4 linked regions of the Ovis aries genome follow. The protein of the gene in region 1 purifies or fractionates together with the protein of each later gene. This does not show direct contact. Links are inferred from orthologs where the notes say so. Each region holds a gene or a part of one and is shown in the gene's direction. Other genes may lie near its edges.

What was found.
Region 2: the proteins of E2F6 (region 1) and L3MBTL2 purify together in Homo sapiens (affinity purification with mass spectrometry; 5 studies listed by BioGRID and IntAct, counting the BioPlex papers as one, with this or other methods). This does not show direct contact. The link is inferred for Ovis aries from reciprocal best matches to the Homo sapiens genes E2F6 and L3MBTL2.
Region 3: the proteins of E2F6 (region 1) and MAX purify together in Homo sapiens (affinity purification with mass spectrometry; 5 studies listed by BioGRID and IntAct, with this or other methods). This does not show direct contact. The link is inferred for Ovis aries from reciprocal best matches to the Homo sapiens genes E2F6 and MAX.
Region 4: the proteins of E2F6 (region 1) and MGA purify together in Homo sapiens (affinity purification with mass spectrometry; 3 studies listed by BioGRID and IntAct, counting the BioPlex papers as one, with this or other methods). This does not show direct contact. The link is inferred for Ovis aries from reciprocal best matches to the Homo sapiens genes E2F6 and MGA.

What each region holds. Positions count from the first base shown.
Region 1 is NC_056056.1:20,421,097-20,426,744, reverse strand, and holds the start of E2F6 (transcription factor E2F6), read left to right. Parts: upstream 1-2,128; 5' UTR 2,129-2,428; coding exon 2,429-2,536; intron 2,537-5,648. UniProt on the Homo sapiens protein: Inhibitor of E2F-dependent transcription. Binds DNA cooperatively with DP proteins through the E2 recognition site, 5'-TTTC[CG]CGC-3'. Has a preference for the 5'-TTTCCCGC-3' E2F recognition site.
Region 2 is NC_056056.1:218,200,447-218,205,298, forward strand, and holds part of L3MBTL2 (lethal(3)malignant brain tumor-like protein 2), read left to right. Parts: intron 1-1,073; coding exon 1,074-1,197; intron 1,198-2,044; coding exon 2,045-2,124; intron 2,125-3,461; coding exon 3,462-3,579; intron 3,580-3,968; coding exon 3,969-4,103; intron 4,104-4,366; coding exon 4,367-4,455; intron 4,456-4,852. UniProt on the Homo sapiens protein: Putative Polycomb group (PcG) protein. PcG proteins maintain the transcriptionally repressive state of genes, probably via a modification of chromatin, rendering it heritably changed in its expressibility.
Region 3 is NC_056060.1:75,272,121-75,276,972, reverse strand, and holds part of MAX (protein max), read left to right. Parts: intron 1-2,253; coding exon 2,254-2,377; intron 2,378-2,850; coding exon of another isoform or gene 2,851-2,867; exon of another isoform or gene 2,868-3,622; coding exon 3,623-3,810; 3' UTR 3,811-4,852. UniProt on the Homo sapiens protein: Transcription regulator. Forms a sequence-specific DNA-binding protein complex with MYC or MAD which recognizes the core sequence 5'-CAC[GA]TG-3'. The MYC:MAX complex is a transcriptional activator, whereas the MAD:MAX complex is a repressor.
Region 4 is NC_056060.1:35,375,128-35,379,979, forward strand, and holds part of MGA (MAX gene-associated protein), read left to right. Parts: intron 1-327; coding exon 328-561; intron 562-1,527; coding exon 1,528-1,704; intron 1,705-2,795; coding exon 2,796-4,072; 3' UTR 4,073-4,852. UniProt on the Homo sapiens protein: Functions as a dual-specificity transcription factor, regulating the expression of both MAX-network and T-box family target genes. Functions as a repressor or an activator.

The sequences.
Region 1 (5,648 bases):
TCTTTGGCTCAGATGGTAAAGAATCTACTTGCCAATGCAGGAGACTTAGGTTTGATCCCTGGGTTGGGAAGATCCCCTGCAGAAGGAAATGGCAACCCACTCCAGTATTCTTGACTAGAAAATCCCATGGACAGAGGAGCCTGGTGGGCTACAGTCCAAGGCATTTCCAAAGAGTGAGACACAACTTGGCCACTATACTACAACAACAAATGCCTTTTTATATCAAATCCTAGCTATTCCCAGTTCTAAGTAGGCTACATTCATTAATTCATTTAATCCTCACAACAATCTTAGGAGGTAAGTAGTCATTTAGTTCAGTTCAGTCGCTCAGTCATGTCCGACTCTTTGCGACCCCATGAATCGCAGCACGCCAGGCCTCCCTGTCCATCACCATCTCCTGGAGTTCACTCAGACTCACGTCCATCGAGTTGGTGATGCCATCCAGCCATCTCATCCTCGGTCATCCCCTTCTCCTCCTGCCCCCAATCCCTCCCAGCATCACAGTCTTTTCCAAAGTAGTCATTAATCCCATTCAACAAATAAGGAAATTGAGGCAGGGACTGATTAAACAGCTTGTTTCAGGTCTGGTAAACTTCTAAGCACAGGGAGCCAGGATCAGAAAACACATCGTCTGGCTCCAGTTTTATTATTTATTTATATAGGCGTTTTAACTCCACCTTATATTACCTGCTTCCTGGATTTGTGGCACATACAAATTTTCTTATTGAAACACTTTCTTTTCTTTTTGTAATGGAAGTTGAGTTAATTTACATGCCTGTCTGCATGTAAGTCACTTCAGTCATCTCTTACTCTTAATGACCCTATGGACTGTAGCCCACCAGGCTCCTTTGACTATAGGATTCTCCAAGCAAGAATACTGGAGAGGGCTGCATGCCCTCCTCCAGGGGATCTCCCCGACCGAGAGATTAAACCTGAGTTTCCTGCCTTCTCAGGCGGGTTCTTTACCACTAGTGCCACCTGGGAAGCAACATTGTATTAATTACTGCTATCCAGCAAACTGGCTCCAGCTTTCAGTTCAGTTCAGTCACTCAGTCCTGTCCACTCTTTGCAATCCCATGTACTGCAGCACACCAGGCCTCCCTGTCCATCACCAACTCCCGGAGTTTACTCAGACTCATGTCCATTGAGTTGATGATGCCATCCAACCATCTCATCCTCTGTGGTCCCCTTCTTCTCCTGCCTTCAATCTTTCCCAGCATCTGGGTCTTTTCCAGTGAGTCGGTTCTTCGAATCAGGTGGCCAAAGTTTTGGAATTTAAGCTTCAGCATCAGTCCTTCCAATGAATATTCAGGACTGATTTCCTTCAGGATGGACTGGTTGGATCTCTTTGCAGTCCAAGGGACTCTCAAGAGTCTTCTCAACACCACAGTTTAAAAGCATCAATTCTTCGGCGCTCAGCTTTCTTTATAGTCCAGCTCTCACATCGATGCATGACTACTGGAAAAACTATAGCTTTGACTAGAAGGGCCTTTGTTGGCTAAGGCAGTCCAAGGGGCTCTCAAGAGTCTTCTCTAACACCACAATTCAAAAGCATCAATTCTTCCAGCTCTAAACATTTCCTTTATCTCTCTCCTCCACTGGAATTGGAGATTGTGCCAAATTCAAAGGAGTAACTCCTGTGCTCAGCACGATCTCCGACACCATAGGGAATCATTTATTTCTCAAATTTTCATTTGGAAGGGAGAAAGAAGAAGAAGAAAAAAAAGGTGCACATCAGTAAATAATCCCATGACGGTTCGGTGACCAACACTGACGAAAAAGCATCAGCACTGGGCAAGTGCCTGAGATGTAAATTAACTCCCTGCGCGCTGAGAACTTTCAGTTATTAGTGTGGTTAGTGTCAAGAACTCCGAGGGACACAAGCGAGCTGTCCCAGCAGCCTGGCCTCCCGCCCCGACCCCTCCGTCTGGACCTCCGGCGCAGCGTCTTCCTCTCGCGGTGCTGTCCTCTCCGCGGACTCCGCCCTCCGGGATTTCCTGGGCTCTCCCTCGTCCCGCCCGGCTGAGGGCCGCGTGCGGCTTGCGGGGAGTGCTCGGGCAGAGGCGGCCGCGGCGCCGGCTGCGGCGGCGGCAGCGGGGACGCGCCTGCGCACTGGGAGCGGCGGCGCACTGCGCATGCGGGAAGATGGCGGGACTGGCGTCCTGAGTTGCGCGGGTCACGGTGCTCTTTAGCCCGCCCGCGTCCCCCGTCCCGGGGTCGAGTCTGGTCCGCCAGCCGGTCTAATTAGGCGGCGCCTCTGAGCCGGCCAGGGGCCCGGTTCGTGCTTGACGACGCCCCCTTCTCCCCTCCCGCCCCCCCAGCCCCTGGGACCCGGCGTGTTGTGTTGGGGGGTGCGTCGTCCGAGCGGAGCGGGAGAAGGCGGGAGAGCTCTCGGGGGTGCGAGGCGAGGAGCGACTGGCCGGTCAGCATGAGTCAGCAGCGACCGGCGCGGAAGCTGCCCAGCCTGCTCGTGGACCCGGCGGAGGAGGCGGTGCGCCGTCGCTGCCGCGACCCCATCAACGTGGAGGGCCTGCTGGTAAGCCCCCCCGGGGTTGGGGGCGGGGAACGCGTGCGTGTGGGGGGTCCTCGGGCTCTAGGGTGGCCCCGGGGCTGCTCCCTCGGGCTCCCGGGTTTTCGCACTGCCTGTCACGTCCTCTGAACCAGAGCCGTCGTCGTCCGCTGAAACCCTTTGCCTTATCCTTTCCATGTGCTCCAAAATAACGTTGTCAGCCTCCTCGAATTTTCCTTCGGGCCACAGAGCAGTGTTGGAGAAAATTGCACAGCTTTGCCTGACGCTGGCATGCTCTTCCATCTTTATTTCAGTGGGTCTCTGCAAGCTCTCTTTTTCGTGTTCTCTGCAGCCTCCTCTGCCCGTCTCCTACTCAGCTGCAGCCGCTTTAAACCCTGTCCACACCTCACACGTCCCACCCCACAGCTCCCCATCTTTCCTTCCGGCCACAGAGCAGTGTTGGAGAAAATTGCACAGCTTTGCCTGACACTGGCGTGCTCGCCCATCTGTATCTCAGTGGGTCTCTGCAAGCTCTCTTTTAGTGTTCTCTGCAGCCTCCTCTCCCATGCTCCTGCTTAGCTGCAGCCGCTTAAAACCGTGTCCACACATCCTACCCCACAGCTCCCCCCATTCAGCACGTCTTCCATCCTGTTTGACAGCGAAAACGCAAGGGAGATTAAGACTCTCTGTGAAACGTTCAATTCTGTTGCTCTGGACTGCATGCAGTGTATTCTTCTTATCAGCACTTTTCCATGGAAGGAACCCATCAGTCCCCATTTCTCCCTGCATTCTCGACCTCTCTGCTGCTTTCTTCCCATTACTAGTGAATAGACATTTCCTGAAGTCAGATTATCCAGACACAAGGAGGTGCTGGAAAATAGTGCTCCAAAATAGTTGATGAGCACCATCTCATTTAATTCCGCACAGCAGTTGTAAGGGATTATTCTTGTTTGACAGTTGCCAAGATAGACTTGGAGATGTTAAGTGGTTTTTCTGTGGTTAGTAAGTAGAAAAGCCTGGGTTGAACCTCCCAGTGTCTGACTCCGGATGGTAAATTCTCAACTACTTAAAGTGAAATGAAAAGTTGCTCGTGCGACCCCGTGGACCATACAGACCACAAAATTCTCCAGGTCAGAATACTGGAGTGGGTAGCCGATCCCTTCTCCAGGGGATCTTCCCAAACCAGGGGTTGAACCCAGGTCTCCCGCATTGCGGGTGGATTCTTTACCAGCTGAGCCACAAAGGGAGCCCAAGAATACTGGAGTGAGTATCCTATCCCTTTTCCATTGGATCTTCCCGACCCAACAATGTCCTAAATCCCATTTCCCTCTTGAGAGATCTCTCCTTTAATCCCTTATGCCTTTCCGCCCACTATATCACTTCCCCTTCACAGCCAAACTCTTTGAAAAAGTTGTCTGCACTCTGAGTTTTCTTGCTCACATCTCATTACCACCTTGAGCTGCTGCTGGGGGACCTCAGCCCTAAGCACAACTCTACGACTGTCCTAACCAAGGTCGTCAGCAACCTTGTCAGGTCCAGCGGATATGGTTTTAACACGATGGACCACTCACTCCGTTGGAAACTCACCATTGTGTCCCCTTGGACATACTCTCAGCACTCCATCTGCCTCTCTGGCCTCTTGTGTTCTCTTTTGTAAACTCTTCCTTTTCCCATCCCTTCCATGTTGGTCTTACTCAGCTCTTCAGCCTTCTCCACAGTTTCTTCATATGGGGTGTCATTCAGCACTCTTGTGACTTCTGTTACTGTTTGTACTGGTGGTCTTTTTCTTTTCAGTTCAGCTCAGTCGTGTCTGGCTCTCTGCCACACGTGGACTGCAGCACACCAGGCTTCTCTGTCCATCACCAACTCCCGGAGCTTGCTCAAACTCATGTCCATCAAGTCGGTGATGCCGTCCAACCATCTCATCCTCTGTTGTCCCCTTCACCTCCTGCCTTCAATCTTTCCCAGCATCAGCATCTTTTCCACTGAGTCTGTTTTTTGCATCAGATGGCCAAAGGATTGGCAACTTCAGCTTCATCTTCAGCCCTTCCTATGAATATTCAGAACTGATATTCTTTAGGATTGACTGGTTGGATATCTTTGCAGTCCAAGGGACTCTCAAGAGTCTTCTCCAGCACCAGAGTTCAAATGCATCAGTTCTTCGGTGCTCAGCTTTCTTTATGGTCCAATTCTCACATCCATACCTGATTACTGGAAAAACCATACCTTTGACTAGACCAGCCTTTGTCAGGAAAGTAATGTCTCTGCTTTTTAATATGCTGTCTAGGTTTTTCATAGACTTTCTTCTCATTATTTTAGAATTTGATAAAAGCTATGAACTCTTACTATGGAAAAAACTTTATTTTGCATTTAATGTCAGAAGATACACGTATCCCTTGGAGTTTCAGAGAGTCTTATCCACTCTGGTCGGGCTTCTCTGATGGCTCAGTGGTGAAGAATCTGCCTGCTAGTGCAGGAGACACAGATTCATTCCCCTGGATTGGGAAGATCCCCTGGAGACGGAAATGGCAACCTGCTCCAGTATTCTTGCCTGGGAAATCCCATGGCCAGAGGAGCCTGGTGGGCTACATCCATGGGGTCACAAAAGTGGGACACAACTTAGCCACTAAACAATAACAATCTACTCTGGTAGTTTGGTTACCGTGTCATGACTCCCAAATCTGTAAATTGGGCTCAGAGCTTTCCAGTTGTCTACTATACAACTCTACCTAGATTTCAAACTCATACACCTGAAGTGGAATTCGTGTCTTGCTTAAGCAACAACTCTCGATCTCATATTGCAACAAATGGTACCACACCCTCCATATTGCCCTAGCTGGTATCCTACGTATAATCTTTACCTTTTCCAAATGGACCCCCTCCATCCTGTCTAATAGAAATTAGTCACCAGTACTTGCCACTTCTAGCTGTCATTTTGCCTTTCAGATTGCTATCTTCTCAACTAGTTTTCCTGCTTCTCATCTTGCCCCTGATTTTCCTATATATTCTCTACATAGTAACTAACCATAATGGTCTTTTTAAAGTGTATGTACGATCACGTCGTTTGGCTTAAAGAATCTATCATGGTTCCCAGCTGCTCTCATCATAGAGGAGAAACTTCTTAATGTCATCAGACTCC
Region 2 (4,852 bases), about 200 Mb from region 1:
AAACCCACATTTCTAGTTCATTGATCTCTCTCTTTTTTTTTTTTTTTTTTAAACTTTTTACTTTGTATTACAGTAGCTTCCTTTGCAGCTTTGTGGTAAAGAATCTGCCTGGCAATGCAAGAGAGGTGGGTTTGATCCCTGGGTCAGGAAGATCCCCTGGAGAAGGAAATGGCAACCCACTCCAGTATTCTTGCCTGGGAAATCCCATGGACAGAGGAGCCTGATTGGCTACAGTCCATGGGGTTGCAAATGAGTCGGACACAACTGAGTGACTAGACAACAACACAGCTGATTAACAATGTTATGCTAGTTTCAGGTGAACAGCAAAAGGATTCAGCCATACATATGCGTCTGTCCATTCTCCCCCAATCATTGATCTCTTTAATACATTCTCTGGGCCTCTCTGATCAGTGCTTAAGCTACAAATTACCGACCAGGTTTTCCTTATAGCTCAGATGGTAAAAAAAATCTGCCTCTGATGCTGGAGACCTGGGCTCTGGCAAATCCCCTGGGGAAGGAAATGGCAACCCACTCCAGTATACTTGCCTGAAGAAAAATCCCATGGACAGAGGAGCCTGGCGGGCTACAGTCCGTGGGTCGCAAAGAGTCGGAAATGACTAAGCGACTAACACACACACAGGTCAGTGGCCTTTCACTCTGGGGTAGGACCCCTTTGAGCACCTCATAAACTCTGTTCAGTTCATGAGCCTTCTGAAGCCCCTTCTTTGCCATAAACCTATAGGAGCACCAGGGGAAGGAGATGGCTGAGAGCTTTGGCCACCAGCGAGAACTTCCTGGCAGTAGCAGAGCTTAAAAGATGGAAAAATGTATCCCTCCCTGCCCTCTGGCTCTGCCAACCCCCACCCCAGCAGGTGAACAATGGCTAAGTGCTTTCTGAGTTCAGCACAATATGTGACCCTCACCCTTGCAACTCCCCCCTGAGCTAAGCATTATAATTGTTATCATCTTGATTTACAAGTGAAGAAACGAGTCCCAAAGAGATTACCAGGGCAGTCCAAATCCAGAGCCTTGTTATCAGCCTTTAGGCTACCAACAGGCTCTCCTCCCTCCAGGGAAAACCACCTACCAAGAAGGCCAAAGTTCTGCACAAAGCTGCTTGGTCTGCCAAAATTGGAGCCTTCCTCCACTCCCAGGGGACAGGACAGCTTGCTGATGGGACCCCAACTGGGCAGGACGGTAAGTCAGTAGGGACTGGTGCTCTGGAAGCCAGTGGGGTGTGGTGCCAGGACTCAGCAGGTGAGGGGAGGGGTCGCTCCCTAGGAGCCAGGATTGGAGAAGGGCCAGCTAGAAAGGGCCAGCCCAGGCTCGCTTTAGATGGCATCTTCCTCACCTGGGAGTAACTGTGAGATGGCCCAGAAGATCCCTCAATCACTCTACTCTTGAGCACTGAAAAGCCAAGAGTTAGCTTCCTTTGTTTAGCATTGCCTGTAGCTCTCTGGCTTTTGTTTTCCTGGGGCAGTGGAGACCTAGACCTGGTGTGAAGAAGGGTGATGGGATCAGGAACTTCTCTCTTTCTGAGCATGAGTAGCTGTTTGTAAATAAATGTAGACTGGCAGCTGTGTACTAGGTGGTCTGACACAGCTCCCAGATCAGGGCTGGAGGGACTGTGGTGTGTGTGCCTCCCACCCATCTAGATTGGCTGTGGCCAATGAGAGGTTGGGGGCGGTCTGAGGAATTTAAGCCTTGAGGGTCTTTGAATTTCCCTCTTTCTCTTGAGGGAGAAAGATCAGACATTTCCCTCTGACTCTCTCTACTGAGAGTCTGGCAGCCTCTGGATGAGGTCCTCCCCGTCCCATCCTGATGGCCACTGCTGGGGCAGGTATGGGGTGGGCCTGGGCTGCGTGGTGGGAAGGGGCCTGTGCTCCCGGTCCCCAGGCCCGGGTTCCTGCAGTGGCCACTGCTGGGGCAGGTATGGGGTCGGCCCAGGCTGCTCCCAGTCCTCAGGCCCGCCTGGTTTCCTGGAGTCACTGCTGCGAGAGCTCCGCACTTCAACCCCTCAACTCTGGTCCTCTTGGCTCTGCAGCGCTGGTCTTGGGTTTCGACTGGGGGAAGTTCCTGAAGGATCACAGTTACAAGGCTGCTCCTGTCAGCTGCTTTAAGCATGTGAGTGCCCTGGGCATGAGGGGAGGGAGGGCAGGGGCCCGGTTGCTGCTGCCGGTTCACCCACCTGCCTCACTGCTTCAGCACTGGGAGGGAACAGGATGAAGTCTGGGTGCTCAAAGCCCGGCTTTGCCACTGGCTCCAATTCACCTTTCTGCCCACTTGTCCTTCACCAAGTCCTCCCAAAGACCCTCTTCGAGGGCTTTGAGCACTCCCCTCGGAGGTCACCCCCAGGCTGATTCACATAATGGCACTTTGTGCTTTGGTATCCAGAGCCAACTGTGAGAATCCCTTTCTCTTTTCCCCCATTTTTAGTGCTTTCCTGTTGACAGCTTGGTGCCTGTGAACTGCCCCCGGCCCATTGGCTCCTGGGAGGCAGATATGGGTGGCTCCTGGGAGGCAGATATGGGTGCCTCCTGGAACCCCTTCTGCTAAAGCCTCCCTGACTCCCTGTCAATGCCTAAATTGCATCTGACTCCTTGAGACCCCGTGGACTATAGCCCGCCAGGCTCCTCCATCCCTGGAGTTTTCCTGGCAAGAACACTAGAGTGAGTTGTCATCCCCTCCTCCAGGAGATCTTCCCGACTCAGGGATCAAACCCTGCATTGGCAGGCAGATTCTTTACCACTGAGCCACCTGGGAAGCCCCAGGTGGCTGTCACTGAGAAGCGGCCGAGGCTGAGACTGGAGGGCTGGGCTTGGAGTGCAGGCCTGAGCAGTGGTCCCCCACAGGTGCAGAGAGAGGCAGAGGGGGCTCCTAAACCCCAGGAAATCTGGAGAAGGCCTATTTAGTTTATCTTGGCTGCATTGGGTCTTTGTTGCGGAGCACAGGGGCTTCTTGTTACAATGCAAGGGCTTAGTTGCCCCTTGGCTTGTGGGTGCTTAGTCCCCAACAAGGGATTGAGCTCACGACCTGCACTGACAGGCAGGTTCTTACCCACTGTACCACGAGAGAAATCCAGCCACCCGGTATGACGATTGAAGGAGTGCTGTTTGTGTCTTAGAAGCGCCTGTTACATAGTCAGAGTGGGAAACTGCTAGATGTCTGCTGGTACAGGTGTGATGTGCCAGAGGGTAGCAACTGGGAGCCGGTCCTGTAGAGATGGGCAGGGCTGTCTGACACTGCGACTCCCGTCCCCTGACTCGGCTCTTCACAGAGGCGGGCGCGTCCATTCATCGCTTCCTCCCTGGTGCTGGGCCCGGCCTTCCACACACAGTGAGGGGAAATACCGAGGGGCAAAGGAGAGGATACAGCGCGTTTGTGAGGCCCTGCGGCCAGCCGCTCTCCTCTGCCCACCCAGGTGGCTCACTGTCCCCTTGAACCCTCTCACCCCCGCGCAGGTCCCACTCTATGACCAGTGGGAGGATGTGATGAAGGGAATGAAGGTAGAGGTTCTCAACAGCGACGCCGTGCTCCCCAGCCGGGTGTACTGGATCGCCTCGGTCATCCAGGCAGCAGGTGGGTGCTCCTCCGGCCAAGGCGGGGTCAGGGGCTGGGGGCGACATCTCCAGATGGACAGGCAGTGCCGGAGCAGACATCAGCTTCATAAAACAAAAAAACCCGCCCACTGGAGTTTGGTTCTCCCTCCTTGCTATGCTTTCGTGCTGCCTACCTTAGAGGGGGCCACAGAGCTTGGCGAGTTTGGAAACCCCCATTTTGAAGTTCATTCCGGGGTTGATCAGGCCGTAGAAAATTACTCCCCTACTGTGCCATACTGCTTTCCAGGTACATGGCAGGGGTTTGTTTTCGCTCTGGCTGTTGTAGAAGGGGTTCTTGGAGTAGGCAGCCTGGTTTAGGCTGGAGAAGCAAGAAGGCCTAAGAGTTCATCTCCCCTTCCTCCTGCTCAGGGTACCGGGTGCTGCTTCGATATGAAGGCTTTGAAAATGATGCCAGCCATGACTTCTGGTGCAACCTGGGGACTGTGGATGTCCACCCCATCGGCTGGTGTGCCATCAACAGCAAGATCCTGGTGCCCCCGCGGAGTGAGTTACGAGAGTGCTCCCCGTCCTGGTTCCTGTGGCCCCCCTGGGAGAAGTCAGACCAGCCCAGAGCCCTCCTGCCTCCTCACTTCCTCTCCTCCCTCCTCCAGAGGCCCCAGGGCAGGTCCAGGTTGGGGAGTCCAGGACTGCTGGCCTGAGAAGGCAGAAATACGTCATTCAGGCCCTCTGCTGCTCTCTGGGGCAGACTGGCACCCGTCAGCAGAGTGGTGGCAGTCTGTATTTAGGATTCTGCTCTGTCTCCCCAGCCATCCATGCCAAGTTCACCGACTGGAAGGGCTACCTCATGAAACGGCTGGTGGGCTCCAGGACACTTCCTGTGGACTTCCATATCAAGGTCTGGCAGAGCACCCTGGGGTCTCCTGACTGGCCTGCTCCTGCCCTTTCCCCTTCTGTCGGTCCTTGGTGCTGCTCACTGGAGTATTTTTTCTAAGACCCCCTTGGTTTAGCCATCAGAGCAGCTCCAGATTCCCTAAGTATGGGTGGTGGGCGTCTTCTGCCAGTAGCTTCCTCCCTTCTCTGTTCCAGCCTCATCGGTCATGTTGCTTTGTCTGCTGGTGTGCTCTTCCAGATCCTTCCCTTTGCTCATAGCATTTTCAGGAGCATTCATTCAACTGGGCTTCCCAGGTGGCGCTAGTGGTAAAGAACCTGCCTGCAATGTAGGAGACCTCTATTCATTCAGTAGATTTGACTAAGTGCTTGTTGTATACAAGGCACTGCCATCTGGCATGCTC
Region 3 (4,852 bases), on another chromosome or scaffold:
GTAGCACTCAGGCCGCTACTCAGTGTGGTCATTTGTTAAAAATTATCACTAAGCATTTGCAAGTGCTCTCCTGTTCAGAGATTTTGCTTTTTTCCCTTGTGCTAGATAACGAATGCAGAGTTAAATGAGGTTAATGTTGCATTCTGGGAGCAACAGTTAGTCGGGGAAACAACAGCAAATTTAAAGAGAGGCTGTGATACAAATATGCATGGCAATTAGATCAGTGATGGAATGCATAGAATTTGGAAGGCTCAGTGGGGTCAGAGAGTTTCTTGTCAGATAAGAAATAACCCTGCGAGAAAGACTGTGTCTGCGGTCCCAGAGCACCTTAGGGACAGGACTCTGGAGGGACCCGTCTGCTGGATTCCTAAGCTTTTCTCCCCACCCTGCCATCCTGCCACCTATCCTGACTATACATATTCTTAATCCCCTCTCTAGCATCCAGAGAGGCAGGGTATTTTAATTAGTCCCTTCTAAATATGTGCCCTTTCCCCGGCCCCCGTTTTATCACCCAGTAATTAACCCTAATAAGTCTCCTTTGGCAGAAATGGGAAACAGCCTCTGAAGTGGCCTTGTAACGAGAGTTGCGTGCCCTGCCCCCCACCCCCCACTGGTAGGTGCCCTCACTTTCTCTCCATCAGCTGACATACTCAACTGAAGATGGAGACCTGGTCCTGTCTCCACCCTCATGCCCTTGTCTACGCTGTTCTCCGTGCCCAGAGCAACCCTTTTTCACAAATTCCGCCTCAGTCTAACCCACCCTGACCCACTGGTTCAGACGGGAGCCTTTGTGTGCAGAGCCAAGGCTAATTCCTGGCACACACAAGGTGACCACCCCGGCCAAAAGCCGTCCTTCCCGTGGCCTTTGTAATCTGTACCACTCAAGTTACGCTTGTTGGTACTGCCCTGTGATTTGTCTGTATATAGATATGTTTATCTCCTCAACTAGATAGTAAGTAAGCATCTGGGCAAAGAGGCCATGACTAATACATTTTGTTTCCCCACAGTGTCTGCTCTGTGCCTGACACATAATTCACACCAGATAAAAATGGTTGAATATGAACAGTTTCCTTTTGAGGAAATTGCCTTAAGGATGCCATAAGAGGAAAGCCTGGAGACTCTAGTGCTTGGGAGAACGGGTGAATCAACCTGGGTCTTCCAAACCTCTCTGATACCCGGCCGTGCTGGAGTCTATGAGTTGCGATTGTCAGGGTTTACTACAAGTGGGTATAGTTTTGCTCGCCCAAGTGTGGCTGTTTTCTTTGCCATTTCAGAAGCTTTGCTCCTGCTCAGGAGTCTCAGTGGCATGACTGCCGGACTTCAGCCACTAGACTAGCTTGTCTCGGGCTTCTGTTCTCTGGGCCTTGTACCATTCTGCCAGTTCAGTCAGTTGACTGCTTGGTCATGAGTAACTCAGGCCATGTTTGCAACCCTGCAGGGAATCTCCCAGACAAGTTTGACCTCCAGGATTCAAGTAACCTGACATCCATTTTATTAGCTCATTAACTTGTTCCTCTACAGGGCAGTCCCTAGGCTACCCTCAGCCATGGTAAAGGTGTGGTTGCTTCCTGAAATGGCCCAATCTCATGCCCTTCCTGTGTTGACACCAAGCTCTGACAGCTTTCACAAACTTCTCTTTAGCCAGAGAGGTTGAAATAGTGACTCGGTCACATGGCTTAGTTGGAACTAGTTAACAACAATCTGAGTACTTGTCTGAAGTCTCAGACCTTGATGAAAACCTTTGTACCCATCCCCATCCTGAGCCAGCTCCAGCTGAGATCTTGATTTTGTCTTTCTGGACCAGCTGCCTATAGCTAGGCCCAGCAGAGAGTGAGTGACCTTAGCTCTCAGTTAAGTGGTAGTTTAATTTTTTCAGAACAGCCTGGCCGAAGATGTGAAAGCAACCTAAAGAACCAAAGAGGCTGGCTGGGAAACAAGTTCAGGGTTGAGACAGAGCTGAGTTTGAATCCAGACTCTACACCCTTTAGCTGGTGATTTTGAATAAACCAGTAAACTTCTCTGAGACTCGGGTTCCTAGTGGAACCACCTTTCTTAGAGTGCCAGTGAGGTAAGCTGTGGAAAGCAGCTGGTGCCTTGACCGGCATAAAGAAGATTCTCTACAGCACTTAGTGCTTCGTGCCCTTCCCCTCCTACTTCTGTCCCCCACGTGGCCTTTGCTGAAAGGAATGGTTTCCTTGCTGCATGGACTAGGTCTTTATTTTGTCCCCTCTGCTTTTTCTCATATTGCAACAGGCATCCCGGGCCCAAATCCTAGACAAAGCCACAGAGTATATCCAGTATATGCGAAGGAAAAACCACACACACCAGCAAGATATTGATGACCTCAAGCGGCAGAATGCTCTCCTGGAGCAGCAAGGTGAGCAGTGGAGCTTGTGGGGCAGCTGGCCCTGCTGTGCGCCAGCCAGGTCAGGGCCTCACGCCGGGGCCTGCAGAGTCAGAACCAGTGACGGAGCCATGCTCCTGAGCAGCTGCAGCCCTGCTGCTTGGGCCTGTAGTCGAGTGTAGCCATCCTGAGGAAGGACCTGAGCCCTTGGTGAGGGAACAGTGGAGTCTAAGGCTTAGCCATCTGGATTCTTTTTTCTGACCTGCTCGCTCTCCCCTTCTTGGGGCCCAAGTGTTGCACTGGTAGTAGAGATCGCAGCTGGCCTCAGGTGCCTCAAAAGAGCTGTGAGGTCCTTGGATTGGAGTGTGCTGTGTAAGCGCCAGAGACTCCAGGTGTTCAGGGACAGTGAGCGCTCCCCGTGTCAACGGTAGTCCACTCAGGGCAGCCCATGGGCCAGGCCCATGCTGTTCTCCAATGCTCACACCCGCCTTTTCCTACAACCACAGGGGAAAGCGAGAGCTGATCAAGTTCTTTGTTCCTGGGGAATTCACTTCTCTTCCTCCCTCATGGAAGATGCAAGTAAAAGGAAATGCAAGTAACCATCTGGGTTAGAACATCTCAAATAAAATAAACTAAACCAAAATAAATGGGTTGACCTTCCAGGCTCAAGACGAGCTGAACCGAGGGATGGGCAGTGGGAGGCGGCAGCGGGTTGGTTACCGGGCCAAGCAGCCTGCATGTAGGGGCTCCGTGTTGGAAAACCCAGGTACTCTGTGTATTGGTGACTTGCTTCCAAGTGTCCAGCTTGTCTTTCCAAGTGGATCTTGTACATGAGAGCTAAGCCAAAACTTTTCTTTGGCTGGTACATCTTCTGTCATCCTTCCCTGCTAATGTGTGACCCTCACACCCTTGTGGAGCCAGGCATTGCTGGGCCAGCTGCACTGTTACTGCACTGCTGGGTCCCGCAGCGAGCTCGTGTTCCTCTCTCTGTACTGGGCTTCCACGGCAGGATGGTGACCTCACACGCCTTCTCTTCAGGGTTGGGTGGCCTTGCAGAGTGGCTGGCCGTATCCACTGAGCACTCGTGTCTGGCTGGGAAAGGCAAAGGGAAGTGGGAGTGTGCAGGTGGGCCAGCCAGCGGAAGGGAGTTACTTATGAGCCACCCTGAGCCTCAGGGGCCAGCATGCCCTCGGAAGAACAGGCTGGACCCCAACCCAAGACTCAGTTCCTCCCCTAGTCTCCAGAAGGCTGTAACCCGCTCGCTTGGTTGCCTTTCAGTCCGTGCACTGGAGAAGGCGAGGTCGAGTGCCCAACTGCAGACCAACTACCCCTCCTCAGACAGCAGCCTCTACACCAACGCCAAGGGCAGCACCATCTCTGCCTTCGATGGGGGCTCGGACTCCAGCTCGGAGTCGGAGCCCGAAGAGCCCCAAAGCAGGAAGAAGCTCCGGATGGAGGCCAGCTAAGCTCCACGGGGCAGGCCAGCAATAAAAACTGTCTGTCTCCTCCGTCGTCTCATCCTCCTTTCAGTTCATCTTTAGAACTCTCAGAACCATTTAAGAGACTCTTTGTTTTTTTTTTCCTCTTTCTCATTTTTTTTTTAAATTTTATTTTTACGTAGAAGCTCTTGGACAACAGCTCTCGTTCTCCTTCCCCGTTTCCACTTTTTTTTTTTTTTTTTTTTAACGTTTCCCTTCAGGGATTCCCTGTCCCCACCAGGAATTTTTAAACCAAAACACCCCAACTTGGCAGCTTTCTCTGTGGAGGACAGACGGCCGGCCAGACCTCTGAGCACATGGTGTCCTGACCACCCACCAGCTCCTCCAGCCCCTCCAGGCACATGCCCGGGGGACTCCTGCCCCACCCAGGCCTCTCCTTCTGGGCCATCCTCACCTCTGTTTGATAGACTTTGTGAATCTGTGGACTGCTCTACTTTCAGAAGATGACCAGTTTGGAGTAATCAGAATTATTCCCCCTTCTTTTTAAGGATTTTTTTTTTCCCCTGAAAAGGCTATTTATCGCTCCTATTGAAAGACCAGATCCTTGGAGAAGTTTGTGGTATAAAAGGAAGTGGGGACAGATTTGCAGCACAGAGTCTCGGCCTGTTTCACTCCTGCTTCTCTCAGCTAGCTTTAGGGAGGCCGTGTGACGCTTGTGTGGCGTGAGGGGACGGCAGCAGTGGAACGGGAGCTGCCAGGGGGTGGCAGAGGGTGGGTGGGCCAAGGAGGGAGGGTCGGGTTGGGTAGAGGTTTTGTATTGAGGGCCAGTGATGATGTTTTGATATTTATTTCCTGCTACTGAAATTTGAACCCAAGTGAATTGTCCCTATCTCTGATGATGTCGGTATGGCAAAGCGACAGATTCATGAAGTAATGATCAAATCTTCCTTTCTTTCCGTGTGTATTTCTAAGAAATAGAGCCAACTGATTTTGTATGTAAATACCAAGAGCAGTTCACCTCGTACTAAACCCGCACCCCAGTGCGGACCCTCCCCACCCTCGCCCGCCC
Region 4 (4,852 bases), on another chromosome or scaffold:
AAGCTGCAGAAGACAGACCTTCGCCCTTCAGCCTCCCAATAAAGATTTTTGGGGTTCATGTCTCTCAAAAAAAAAAGGTCATAAATAACAGCTTTAGTAAGGAAAATCCTTAGTAGATCTTTCAAATACTACTTCATTTGAGTCTTGGTTCCCAGAATTACCATCAGACTTGTCTTTTGACTGGGTGGGACTTTTTTTTTTTTTCCCAATTATAATCACTCTTGACTGCCATATTTTTGGGGATATAGTTAAATCAACTGGACTCGACTTCTCATTATTATGTGGGGTCTTATAGAGTGTGACAGTTTATTTCCTCTCAACCTATAGGTAAGACAGAAGAAGTGGTCCTGAAGAAGCTAGAGTATATTTATGCAAAACAACAAGCATTAGAGGCACAAAAGAGAAAGAAGAAGATGGGATCAGATGAGTTTGCTGTGTCTCCCAGAACTAGCAAACAGCAGGAAGGAGCTCCTGCATCATCTGTAGATCTCGGACAGATGTTTATAAATAACAGGAAAGGGAAGCCTTTGATTCTTTCCAGAAAAAAAGACCAGGCCACAGGTAGGAGGGACATTTGCTTTCCTTGATGCAGATGAACATTTGGTTTAGATTAAAGAACTGAACATCTTGGCCATAATTTTAGTTTTAATTAGATGAAAGATGAGTTGTATTAAAAGCAGAATATTAACTACATTAGATTTCATTTTCTAGCTTTACACACTCAAGCAAATCCTAATAAGTTATCCGTCATGGTAATATAAGACTTATTTCTGGTAGGAGTTTATTTTTGTTAACCAAGCTCTTTTTAATCAGATTGCAGTCTGTCAATGAATTGCTATATAGGAACAAAGTAAATTGGTTTTGATTTCTTACTCTGTCCTATATGATTTTGAAGGTGAGGCTATGTTACATTACTATGTTTACATTACTTGCTTATATCCTCTGAAAATGGTATATCCTTTTCTACTCTTTTACTCTTTGGATAGCCAAGTGTAGCAACCAAGGAAATCTGGTTTGTTATATCAGCTAAGAAGGTGGTGATGTATACTAAAATATGAGTTAGTTTTCACATTGCACATTCAAGTGATGTTATTGCTAGATAAGTAAGGACTTTAGTGACCATCTAGTCCAGTCACCTTATTTTACAGATGGAAAAACTGAGGTCTAAAAGCTTGAAGTAATTTCTTAGAGGTTTATAGGAAAGCAAACCTAGGGATAAAATAGTGTGTACCTTCATCCTGCTTCACCAGCAAGACCATCAGAAGCATTCCATTGAAAAAGTGGTTCCGTAGCTCTGTTCCTCAGCAAAAATAAAATTCTGTCCTTTAAGAGAATCAGTGGATAGGTAACCATTACTGAAAAGTCATTCAAAAAGTAAATTGCAAGTTGAGGTTCCCCAACAAATTTGAAATGTCTTGCTTTTTAAGTCAGAGTGTGGTTTTAGGCATGTCTCCTACATTCCTAGACTGTACACTAGCATTAATTGAAGATCGTTTATCCTTAACTAATTTCTGATGTTCTTTACAGAAAATACCTCACCCTCTAATACTCCACACACCTCTGCCAACATTGTGATGACTCCACAAGGGCAATTGCTCACTTTGAAAGGTCCCCTATTCTCAGGACCAGTGGTTACTGTTTCTCCTGCTCTCTTAGAAACAGATCTGAAACCTCAAGTTGCCAGTAGTGCTGTGGCTCAATCAGGTATTGTCTTAAGTGTTGTCTTCAATGGGTGGTGTAAGAGTTGTCTCTGGTATCTCAAAGTGATGGAGAAAGCCTTTGAATATATTCTGTAGTAATAAAGAGCCATTGTATTCAAGTCTGTATGAGAGGGGTCTCTTTGGAACCTGTTTGGCTCTATCTGTGATATCAATTGGTCTTTTTTTACCTGGGGATGGGAACTATTTTGTGATCTCTCCTAATTTCTAATTGTGTGGTAAGTTGCTTCAGTTGTGTCCAACTCTTTGTGACCCTATGAACTGTGGCTCTCCAGGCTCCTCTGTCCATGGGATTCTCCAGGCAAGAATACTGAAATGGGTTGCCATGGCCTCCTCCAGATCTTTCCTACCCAGGGATCAAATCCCTCTCTCTCGTGTCTCCTGCATTGGCAGGAGGGTTCTTCAACCCTGGCTCCACCTGGGAAGCCCAGTTTCTAATTAGGGAAAGAATTTAAAAGATGTGAAAATAAAAGGAATGTGAGGAGTCATTCTTTTAGCTTTTGGTGTTGATAAATATGTATCAGTTTTGTGTTGTACTCAAAGATGGTGCACTCCTACATTACTAACCTGATAAAGTTGGAGCACCCTTTCTTTTGGCAATGAGGAGTTGAGTTGAAAAGGAAATTTTACTTTGATAATTTAGGTTTTACAAACCTTAATTTCTGTTAAGGTAAAAGGGCATCTTTACCAATACTAACACTGCTAAACCCAGTCTGGAGGAGTCATCTTCCTAGAGTGCTGCCTTTAGGGCTTCATCTTTCTGTCAGAGTAGCAGTTACTGGGTGAGCAGAGTCAAGATGCGTGTCTGCCTCAGGACAAAAAGATAAACTTGGGGAGCATTTATATAAAAAATATTAAATAGGACTTCTATTAATGATGGAATATCAGTGTGTCTTTTGGTTAAATTTTACCTATTTTCTTGTTAGGCTAACTCTAATTTGAAAAACTAGTATTTCCTTTCATCTTCTTGCTAAAAGTAGATGGTGAAAATTTAACTCCTTTGAGATGGTTATTGGGTATGAATGGGAGAGAGTGCTTACCACTATAGATAAATGAGTTTTTTTTTTTCTTCCCTAGAAAATGACGACTTATTTATGATGCCAAGAATTGTTAATGTGACATCATTGGCAACAGAGGGAGGTTTGGTAGATATGAGTGGCAGCAAATACCCCCATGAAGTTCCTGATGGCAAGCCACCTGACCACCTGAAAAACACTGTCAGGAGTGAGGATAACTCCTGTGAAGATTTGGGTAGAATCTCTTCCAGAGGCAACCATAGAGATGTCAGAATGGCACTGGGTACAGCACAGGTTTATCTGTCACATAAAGATTCTGGTTGTCCACAAATGGTTGATGTTTCCAGTATGCAAGAAGCACAAGAATTCTTACCCAAAAAGATTTCTGGTGATACCAGAGGGAGTCAGCATAAATGGAAAGAGAGTGAATCAAGACGGGAGAGACTGAAGACAAAGGAGTCTCCATTTCATAAATTAAAGATGAAAGATCTCAAAGACTCAAGCATAGAGATGGAATTGAGAAAGGTAGCATCAGCTATAGAGGAAGCAGCATTGGATCCCAGTGAACTGCTAACTAGTATGGAAGATGAGGATGATACTGATGAGACACTGACATCTCTGCTCAATGAGATTGCCTTTCTTAATCAGCAGTTAAATGATGACTCTGTTAGCCTGGCTGAACTGCCTAGCTCTCTGGATACAGAGTTCCCAGGGGATGCTCGCCGGGCTTTTATCAGTAAGCTTCCTCCTGGGAACAGAGCAACTTTCCAGGTTGGCCACTTGGGAACTGGTTTGAAGGAATTGCCTGATGTGCAAGGGGAGAGTGACTCTGTCAGCCCCCTCCTCTTGCACTTGGAAGATGATGACTTTTCTGAAAGTGAAAAGCAACTTGCAGAACCAGCCTCTGAACCAGATGTGCTGAAGATTGTCATTGACTCTGAGATAAAGGACTCCCTCGTTCCCCAGAGGAAACCGGGGGATGAAGGGAAGAATGCTTCTGGCATCCCTGCTGAGCCTGAAAGCGTGTCCTCACCCCCCATTCTCCACATGAAGGGTGGCCTGGAGAACAGCAGCGCAGACACCTTGTGGAGGCCCATGCCAAAGCTGGCACCTCTAGGTTTAAAAGTAGCTAATCCTTCCAGTGATACAGAGGGTCAGAGTCTCAAGGTGATGCCTTGTTTGGCACCTGTAGCTGCCAAAGTTGGGTCTGTTGGACACAAAATGAACTTAACAGGGAATGATCAGGAATGCCGGGAGAGCAAGGTGATGCCTACACTGGCACCTGTTGTGGCCAAACTGGGCAACACTGGGGCCTCGCCAAGTTCTGCAGGGAAATGAACTTAGTTGTTCTCAGGCAGAAGCCAGGCTGTGAGGGGAAACCTCCTTTCTCTGCAGGCACCTGTTTGTGTCATGGAACTGTGATCCTTGACTTTGAAATGTGGTGAATGATGGTAGAGAAAGGGGGTAGGGTGCTGACATCCATATAAGAAATTAACTACTATGAAATTCTGATCATGTTAAAATGTGTTACCTCACTTGTGGTGCTGGGTCTCCTCATCCTCTCCAAGAAGATGCGATCCATTACTGAACACGAGGTGCCCCTCTTACCCAAGGAATTTGTAACAAGACTAGGTCCATAGTGGTTCCTAGTTCTTCCCTCCCAGAGTAAAAGCTGCTTGAGACTTAGGAGTTGCTATGGACTGAACCTTAGTTGATAGCTGTTGTTTTAAGTCTGAAGTCCAAGGAATGTGATGCACTTGTGCAAAGGGATCCAGAAGAGGTAGCTTTTAGTTGGTGTTTCAGAATAGGGGGAGAGAGGATGGGTACCATGGAATACCAAAGTGAAGGACTTAGTATCATTCAACAAAATTTTCTTTTCTTTCATATCCTAAGTAGCTTCCATTCCCTCACCTTTTCAATCAGAATTATAAATCTAAGCCTTCTGGTAAAGTAGGAATGCTTTTAAAAAAGCTTTTATTACTAAGGTAATCATTTTGAGATGTAAAAATTTAACTAGTTCTCCCTTACTGTGTTTGGGTGTTGAGAAGACCATTTCACGGTACCAAGGATTTCTACCTTGAATGTGTTTTTTGGAGGTAGACATACAGGGAGCCCTTC